2 linked regions of the Oryzias latipes genome follow. The protein of the gene in region 2 interacts with the protein of the main gene of each other region in a biochemical or structural test. Links are inferred from orthologs where the notes say so. Each region holds a gene or a part of one and is shown on either strand. Other genes may lie near its edges.

Region 1 (4,275 bases), on a different chromosome or scaffold from region 2:
TTATGTGCACATTTTTTCATGCATATCAGACAAGATAAAACATGTGAGTCTCACATTTGCTGCTGGCCGGTTGCTTCAAGGCTTACTCCTGATGTTTCTTCAGGTTATTGAGTCATGCAGCACAAACGATATTTTTATATATGATGTTTTACAGTCAGGAAGGGACTCTTGGTTTGCTTTGCTACCACTTTTCGATTGAGTGGTAACTCAAGTCCAAAACCAGGTCACAACAGAAAAAAGCTTTTACAAAGCTCTTGCAAAGCATCGCAGGCAATCCCACCAAACCACTTTGTATCAGGTATCTTCAGAACTCTGGCATCTTCTCACCAGATGACACTTAGGATTCCCACCTTAATCTAGCAAACCAAATACCATGATGCCACAGATGACGGAGTCGGCCTCACACGCCCACACTGTGGGGATGACACAGAGCTCGTCTCTGATAGAATGCGAATCGACAGCTCTGCACGCGCTCCCCCACATCTCCTGCCTTCACACTTGACATCACAGAGACTCCCTCTTGAAACCACAGCTCACTTTGCACACACTGAGGCTCTTCAGAGCAGCCTTTTTCACCACTCCCCATCTCAGCTAGGGTTGACTGACGTTGGTTAGTGGGGGGGCAAAGAACTGACATCAGATTTTCACTGTTCGTCCAATGAAATACATGCATGTAATAAAGATCTGGATGCAGTTTTAAGCTTTTGTGATCAATTTAAAGACATTAAACACTTGATATGTAAGCATCCCTTCATGGCAGTTAAAAAAAACATGAACAATATTGAAGTTACTTTTGTGGACTAAACATAAGTTTCATACTGAAACTCCTCTTTCAATTTGTTGTTTTTATTACTAAATAGATCAAATAAATATAATGAACATTTTGAATATTGTTTTAAATATATAAAAATGTATTAAAGTCATTACATCGTTCATAAATTATTTATTAATATACATTATTTTGAGGTTCAAAATTTATGAGAGAAGAGTAATTGATTTTGTCATTACCCATCACTTTTCTGTTGATTCTTTGCGCCCTCTGGTGGACAAAGGTAAAATGAGATTTTCGGTGGATTAAAATGATCAGACAGTACTAATCGAGTTGATTTCATCGATACGCCCATATTTTGAATAATTTAAATAATAAAAAGCAAAAATTGTTTTAAAAAAATCTCTATACAAATTGAATAACATAGTAAGATTCAGAAGTCCCGAAGTGTTTAGACCGGTTTGGATTGATTTGTGGTACGAATATCAACTAGTCTTGCCTGACTTGCTGTTTTCGATTGCTAAAGTGGTACCTTCAATATAAATTGGAAATTCCAAAACGATAAAAGTAAACTACCTAGTAAGCTAGTGTTTCATTTGTTGAAATAACCATTATTGATCAGCCAAAGTAAAACATGTTACATGAAAAGCCACAAAAAAGAGAATAGAAACATACAAAAATATTACAAATCAAATCCCTTAGAATAAAGAAAAAAACAAGGAGTTCAGGAAGGCAACACGGCAAGTCACAGGAGGACATCTGTCATCACAGATATTTTTTAGCTAACCATCACAAACTTCGCGATGGATTCACAGCCCCCACTCAAACCGTGGGAAAGGCGAATTCCTGGGGGTATGAGCGCACCTATAAACTACAGGTAAATGAGATTCAGGAAGTTATTTGTAGGGTTATTAGTTGTTGTTTCGAAGTTTTCCTAGGTAGCCTAATGCTAACGTTGCTAAAGGAGCTACTGCTAAACAATTACAGAACAGAACGAAACACCATATGAAACGCTGGTTAAAGCTATTACTGATTTATAATCAGGATAGTTGTATCTAAGGTACACTAGTTAATTTCAAATATGTTTAAAATTCGTCTAATTGTTTTTAGACTGTGTTTTTAGACTTGTTTTAGTACTTGTTGCTACTAGTTTGCATAGTAGCCAGGCCCCCGTAGTTGCCAGATATTTGTTGCATTGCCTTAATAAACGCAAAAGTTTTGCTATGAATTTTTTGAAAGATATTATCTTTCTGTTTGATTTTTTAATAGTAGCAGTTTTAAATCCATTAAGAACGAAAAAGCAGAAAGTCTTGTTATTTTGCTCAGATTTCTTGGTTGTCCTGCTGGTTTAGCTCCATCACTTTCTTTACACACAGATCGACAGACTTTGGACCAATTGCAGGCTCCTCCATTCCTGCTGGCCCTCCAGTTCTGACCAGAATGGCTCCTCCAGTGCCTGCTCGCCCGCTCCAGCAGTCATACCGCCCATCCTATTCCTCTTTCACCTCCTCTTACAGCCCCTATGGAAGCTCCATCTATGGGGGTTACAGCCCTTACAGCTATGGCGGCGGTTATGGCGGTGGCTTCGGTGGCAGCTATGGTCCGGGAGGGTACAGTCGTTTACCCCACACAGAAGAAATCGCCCCCAGCCGGTTTGTGCAGCAGGCAGAGGAGAGCAGCCGTGGAGCCTTCCAGTCCATTGAAAGCATCGTCCAGGCTTTTGCTTCGGTTAGCATGATGCTGGACGCCACCTTCTCCGCCGTGTACAACAGTTTTCGTGCCGTGCTGGACGTAGCCAATCACCTAACAAGGCTGCGTGCTCACCTCACTAGAGTTTTGTCAGCCTTCGCTCTGGTGCGCACGCTGCGGTATCTCTACCAGCGTTTGCTGCGGCTGCTGGGGAGGAGGTCAGATGTGGAGGACTTGTGGGCTGACAGCACAAGTGATGCTGTGGTGGCGGGTTCCTCCAGGGGATATGAGGCAGGAATGGATGAACAGAGCGTGAAGTCCTGGCCTATTTTCCTCTTTTTTGCTGTGGTTCTGGGTGGACCTTACCTCATCTGGAAGTTGTTGAGCTCCAGCCCCAGCTCTGATGAAAATAGTAAGGCTGGCATTGAATCCTTAATTTTATTGGTTTATTTTTCCGTTTGTTTGAAGAATTTACAACAGAAGATCATAAAAACACCAAACCAATGACCACAGTGTGGAGTTGTCGATTAAAGTATTATTCATTTAATAATACTATTCAATTATCTTGATGTAATCGTGTTTCTTCTACTTGATGTGCTCAATAGAAATGTTGTTGTTTTTTTCAGGTACAAACTGGGCCAGCGGGGAAGACGATCATGTCGTGGCTCGGGCTGAGTATGATTTCTCAGCAGCTTCTGAAGAAGAAATTCCTTTGCGGGCTGGAGACATGCTAAACCTGGCCCCTAAAGGTGAGACCTTCCTCAAATGTGTCGTGATTAATTAAAGTATTCCATAAAACTGCCTTTATTAACAATTGGTATATTTAAATTCTGGTTGCAGAGCAGCAACCGCGGGTGCGAGGCTGGTTGCTGGCCAGTGTGGATGGCCAGACAATTGGACTGGTCCCAGCTAACTATGTGAAAGTCCTTGGCAAGAGGAGAGGCCGCAAGCACGCGGAGATGGAACGGCTCGCTGAGGTCCAGGAGGAGAACCAGCGGGCCTCTCAAACACCAGCAGCTGCGCATGGTTCCACTTCAGATCTCTCCACAGCCTCCATGGCTCCCTCGACAGACCACCTACTAGAATCAGTATACAGAGAAATCCCAGCTGCCTTCGCTCTGGGAACATCCAACTCCAGCATGAGCTCTGACACAGTGTTGAATATCCCTGAAAAGACGGACCTGTGACGACTGTGTGTGCATGTGTTGCATTTACATCGTCTGTCAGTCAGTTCAAGTTTATCATTTCACTAATCAATTCTTCTGTAGGTCTTTGATTTCATTCATCAGCACAGTTTTCCTCTTAAAGTAAAATGGCTCAGAATCGTTTTTGTGTGAGATGATGTGTACTACATCGTCTTTGTGTTCTGTGAAGTCCAATTATGGGATGCATTGATGTATGTTAATGGGAAATGTAAAAGGGTTGTTGATGTCATGATATACATGTGAGGTTTCACCCTCAGGTGAAGCCGGGTGGACATCTGTAGGTTGTTGTTTTTTTTTGGATCAAGTGAAATTTGATTCACTCAGAAATAAGAAAGACTAGCTTTGCACATTTTAAAGTTTGTTAGTCCAATGTAATTTTGTAAATACTTAAAATAATTATTTTGAAAATAAATCTAATGGATTATTTTTTGCAGTATTAATCTGCAACCAAAAAAAAGCACGTCTTATTTTATTATTTGTGTCGAAAAATGTTGCGTGCGTGCGTGTGGAAATGACAGCTCTGTTTGATGTACGACAGAAATTTTGGATTTACGGTTTTCGTTTCCAGGCAACAGGACGCCCTTGGCTGCTGCAGTGCGACATCGGGGGCGA
Region 2 (3,500 bases):
CCCAGCAAAGCACATTCACACTTGATGAACCCTCCCCTGACTGGTCCTCATTCCGTCCCACCATCAGCGTCCCTCTGGCTGAAATGAGCCAGCAGCATATCCAAGTCTCGCCGGTCAGCTGCTGCGTACAGAGAGCTCTCGCCCATCATGCTGAGAGCCATGCGCAGGGTTGACCAGATGTTGTCAGACATCACTGTTCCTGTGATACCTCCAGGGCCCTGCGGAGCTCTCACACCGTCACCCGCAGCCTGCCGCTGCAGAGACAGAGCTTCCAGGAAGTGCTCCACAGCCTCTCTGCGAAGTTAAAAATAACAAAAATTTTAGATGGTGCAACATTTAAATCCCATTCAGTCAACTATTATCAAAGAGCAACTACGTTTATTCTGATATGTTTGCTTGAAACTAGTTTTGGTTAACTAGTATTATAAACAAAACAAAAAGATTTTTTTTAATTTTTTTTTTTACAAAATTTAAAAGGCTCCCCACCTGTGGGCACCTAAGTTAACACAGCTGATTCCCAAATTATAGCGACTGCGGACAAAACCTGGCTGAAGTTCCAGAGCTCTCCTGTAAGCAGCCACAGCCTCTTCTGATCGGCTTCCGTTAGCTAAAGTGGCTCCCAGTTTATTCCACAACAGATAATCCTGTCAGGAAAAAAAAAGAAAGGCAAAAAGCAGAATAAAAAAAAAATTCACACACACAGTACGTTATGAATATCTCAGAAGAGGATCTTTGCTTTAACCTGGGGAGTGACGGAGAGGGCAGCACTAAAGCAGTCCACCGCTTTGTCATATTCTCCACTGAGGTTAAAGAGGACTCCTAAGCCACACTGCAGCTGTGGGTCCACCTGGGTGGGGTCTGCATTGGCTGCACGCAGGAACATGGACTGAACATCAGTAAATAGCGACCTGTGTAAAATAACCAATAAGAAAAAGTGGAAAAATTTCAGTTAAAACTGCCACGCAAAAAAAAAGAAGATAAATACATAAATATTTAGAGGCTTAAATTTCCTCATCTACCACACTCACTCTGGCAAAAGGGACCCGAACCTCTCGCTCTCCTTCTCCCTGTTTCCAGGACCGTCTTTTTGGCGTTCATGCTCATGCTGCTCCCACACAGAGCGATATTTAGGATTGTGCTTTAACCAGTCACGAAGAGTCTCACAGGCCTGCCTGTGCAGCGACTCATTCGTAAAGCTAACAGCCAGCGCCATCAGTGCTGTCAAATTGTCCTTTTTCAGATCTATACACCTAAAAATAACAATGGGAGGAGGAAAAATGTCACTCAAAGAAATTAGAATATATATTTTTGTTTCCTACCTATTGCTTAAAACAGAATTATAGAAAATGGTTTAGCTAAATATTATTTACTGCACTTAAACTTGCAGCACTTCCTGGCGAGACAGATTTCTGCTTTGAACATTAAGCCTGTAGGCTGGATTTTTCACTTCTGCATTCTGACCTGCGGAGGGCGCTGATGGCAGCAAACTCTTGCTCGTTTTCTGCTTGACAGGTACCCAGATATTGCCAAGCCTGCAATTTAAACGTAAAAATAGATACACTTTATTTCACACTCACCTTTTAAATGAATAAACCTCGTTAATAAAAAAAAATATTAAAAGAAAAAGAATTACTATTGGTAATTTAATAAAACCATATTTTGCTTTCTGTTAAAAAGAAATGCCACAAACTCAATGTGGACTCTTTCCATTACAAAATGAAAAAAAATAAATGTTTAGCAACTAAAAACAGGAAATCTCACCAGCTGGTTGTCTGGTTCCTTCTGTACCGCACTTTCAAAGAACCGTACGGCTCCAGGAATGTCCCCTGCCTCCATCCTTTTAACCCCCTCTGACAAAGGGTCTGGGTGGGACAGGTAAGGATTGTCTTCTTCAAATTGATAACCCTAAAGTAAACAGAAAAAAAACACAACCAAACTGGTCAAAATGTTTTGATGATGATGAATCCAATGACAAATTATAAACAAAAGAACCTCTCGGGCTTACAGCAGAATGTAATACAACACAAGGTTTCAACATCAGCACCATTTCTCAAAGGATTCGAGCATGGAGGAGGTTGACAGCTACCTTGTCATAAGAAGAGCTGAGTAACTGATCAAAGTCAGACAGCCAGGGATGGCTCTCTGCATCTCTCTTGGCCATCTCCTCCCACTCCTGCTGCAGCTTCTCCCAGAAATCCACATCACTCTGACAAAATGACACATCCATTTTACAGTTTCCCACACAGTTCAAATCATTTCTCTACAGTGCAGACACTATTTGACTTTTGTTATCCACAGAAAAGCGTGGATGGCTTGAACGACCGTGTCAAGAAATAACTTCAACTAAAACAGGATTATTTTGCTTTAATAAGGACATATTAAGATAAAATTCTTGATTGGATTTCTCCTCCTTCCTCTAAATTTATAACAAAAAGAGCTAAATCTCCTGAGTATCGGACAAAAGCTTTGGGTTTGGACTTAAAAAAGTTTGGCTCACCTCCACTGCAGCTTTGGCTTGATGAAAATCCGGCCCTGTTGTTGTGAACTCATCTACCCATGCTTCAGCCGACTCCTCTGAAACCTGTAGAACAATAAAACCATTGGCAGCGGATGACAGAAATCTACTAGCTAAGAAATCTGATGAGAATGGAGATCTGGGATGCTTCAAGCAGAAACATAACAACACAAGTATTGCAAAAGCAGCAGGAATGACAAAAGGGGAAAAAAGCCTTTTTCCTACTCCTTGCTTATTAAAAAAAAAAAGCCTGAAAAGGCTAAATGAATGTCGGCTGGGCTTATCTAAGAGTCTAAATGACAGATAAAAATCTATCAAAAAATACTAGAAGCAAAGCTCTAATAAAAAACAGGCACAACTACCCCTATATCCCTAGTGCTGCCGCCACTGCAAAGGTCCTACCTGCCTGATGACTTTGGCCCACTGCTCTGCTTGTTTAGCTTTAACTTTCTCAATCTTCTGACTCATCTCCTGCCGTTCCAAGGGAAGACTTCCTCCCCCCGTCTCCACCAGGAACTATGACGTGAGGTGGAAGGGTTTGGCGAAGGCACATGGGGCAATGATTTGAGGGTAAGGAAGCGGTGGGTAGGGAAAATTTTTGGGGGTGGTTGGTGGAACAGAGTTGTGTGGTTTTTTTTTTGTCTATGTTACATGACAAATGTAAAACATGAAAGGGGATGGCAAGCCGAAATGAGCAAAGCACATGACAATGTTGCATGATTATGAATTAAACTTAATCTAACTGGGATAGTCTATTTTTCTTTGGGTTGAGAAGGCAACATTTCAGCAAATAAGACGTGCTAAACAGCAGGAAGATAGTCTATCCTGTCAAATCAGCAGATAATGAATGAATAAATGAAACCAGCAGACACTAAAAACAAAGTTGGACACTAAACCCTGCAGTACCATGCTATAATAATGTGATTCACCTTTTGGGGTTTTGCTGATTTTTTAAAAACGTTTTTTCATTTTTACAGCACATTGT

The links. The genes of interacting proteins can lie anywhere in the genome.
Region 1: the proteins of pex5 (region 2) and pex13 form a complex in vitro, tested with the Homo sapiens proteins (3 studies listed by BioGRID). The link is inferred for Oryzias latipes from reciprocal best matches to the Homo sapiens genes PEX5 and PEX13.

What each region holds. Positions count from the first base shown.
Region 1 is NC_019873.2:7,361,650-7,365,924, forward strand, and holds pex13 (peroxisome biogenesis factor 13), read left to right. Parts: upstream 1-1,475; 5' UTR 1,476-1,572; coding exon 1,573-1,646; intron 1,647-2,145; coding exon 2,146-2,870; intron 2,871-3,084; coding exon 3,085-3,207; intron 3,208-3,298; coding exon 3,299-3,645; 3' UTR 3,646-4,120; downstream 4,121-4,275. UniProt on the Homo sapiens protein: Component of the PEX13-PEX14 docking complex, a translocon channel that specifically mediates the import of peroxisomal cargo proteins bound to PEX5 receptor.
Region 2 is NC_019874.2:20,509,101-20,512,600, reverse strand, and holds part of pex5 (peroxisomal biogenesis factor 5), read right to left. Parts: intron 3,032-3,500; coding exon 2,918-3,031; intron 2,582-2,917; coding exon 2,498-2,581; intron 2,207-2,497; coding exon 2,087-2,206; intron 1,906-2,086; coding exon 1,762-1,905; intron 1,533-1,761; coding exon 1,462-1,532; intron 1,251-1,461; coding exon 1,029-1,250; intron 909-1,028; coding exon 743-908; intron 645-742; coding exon 487-644; intron 295-486; coding exon 48-294; 3' UTR 1-47.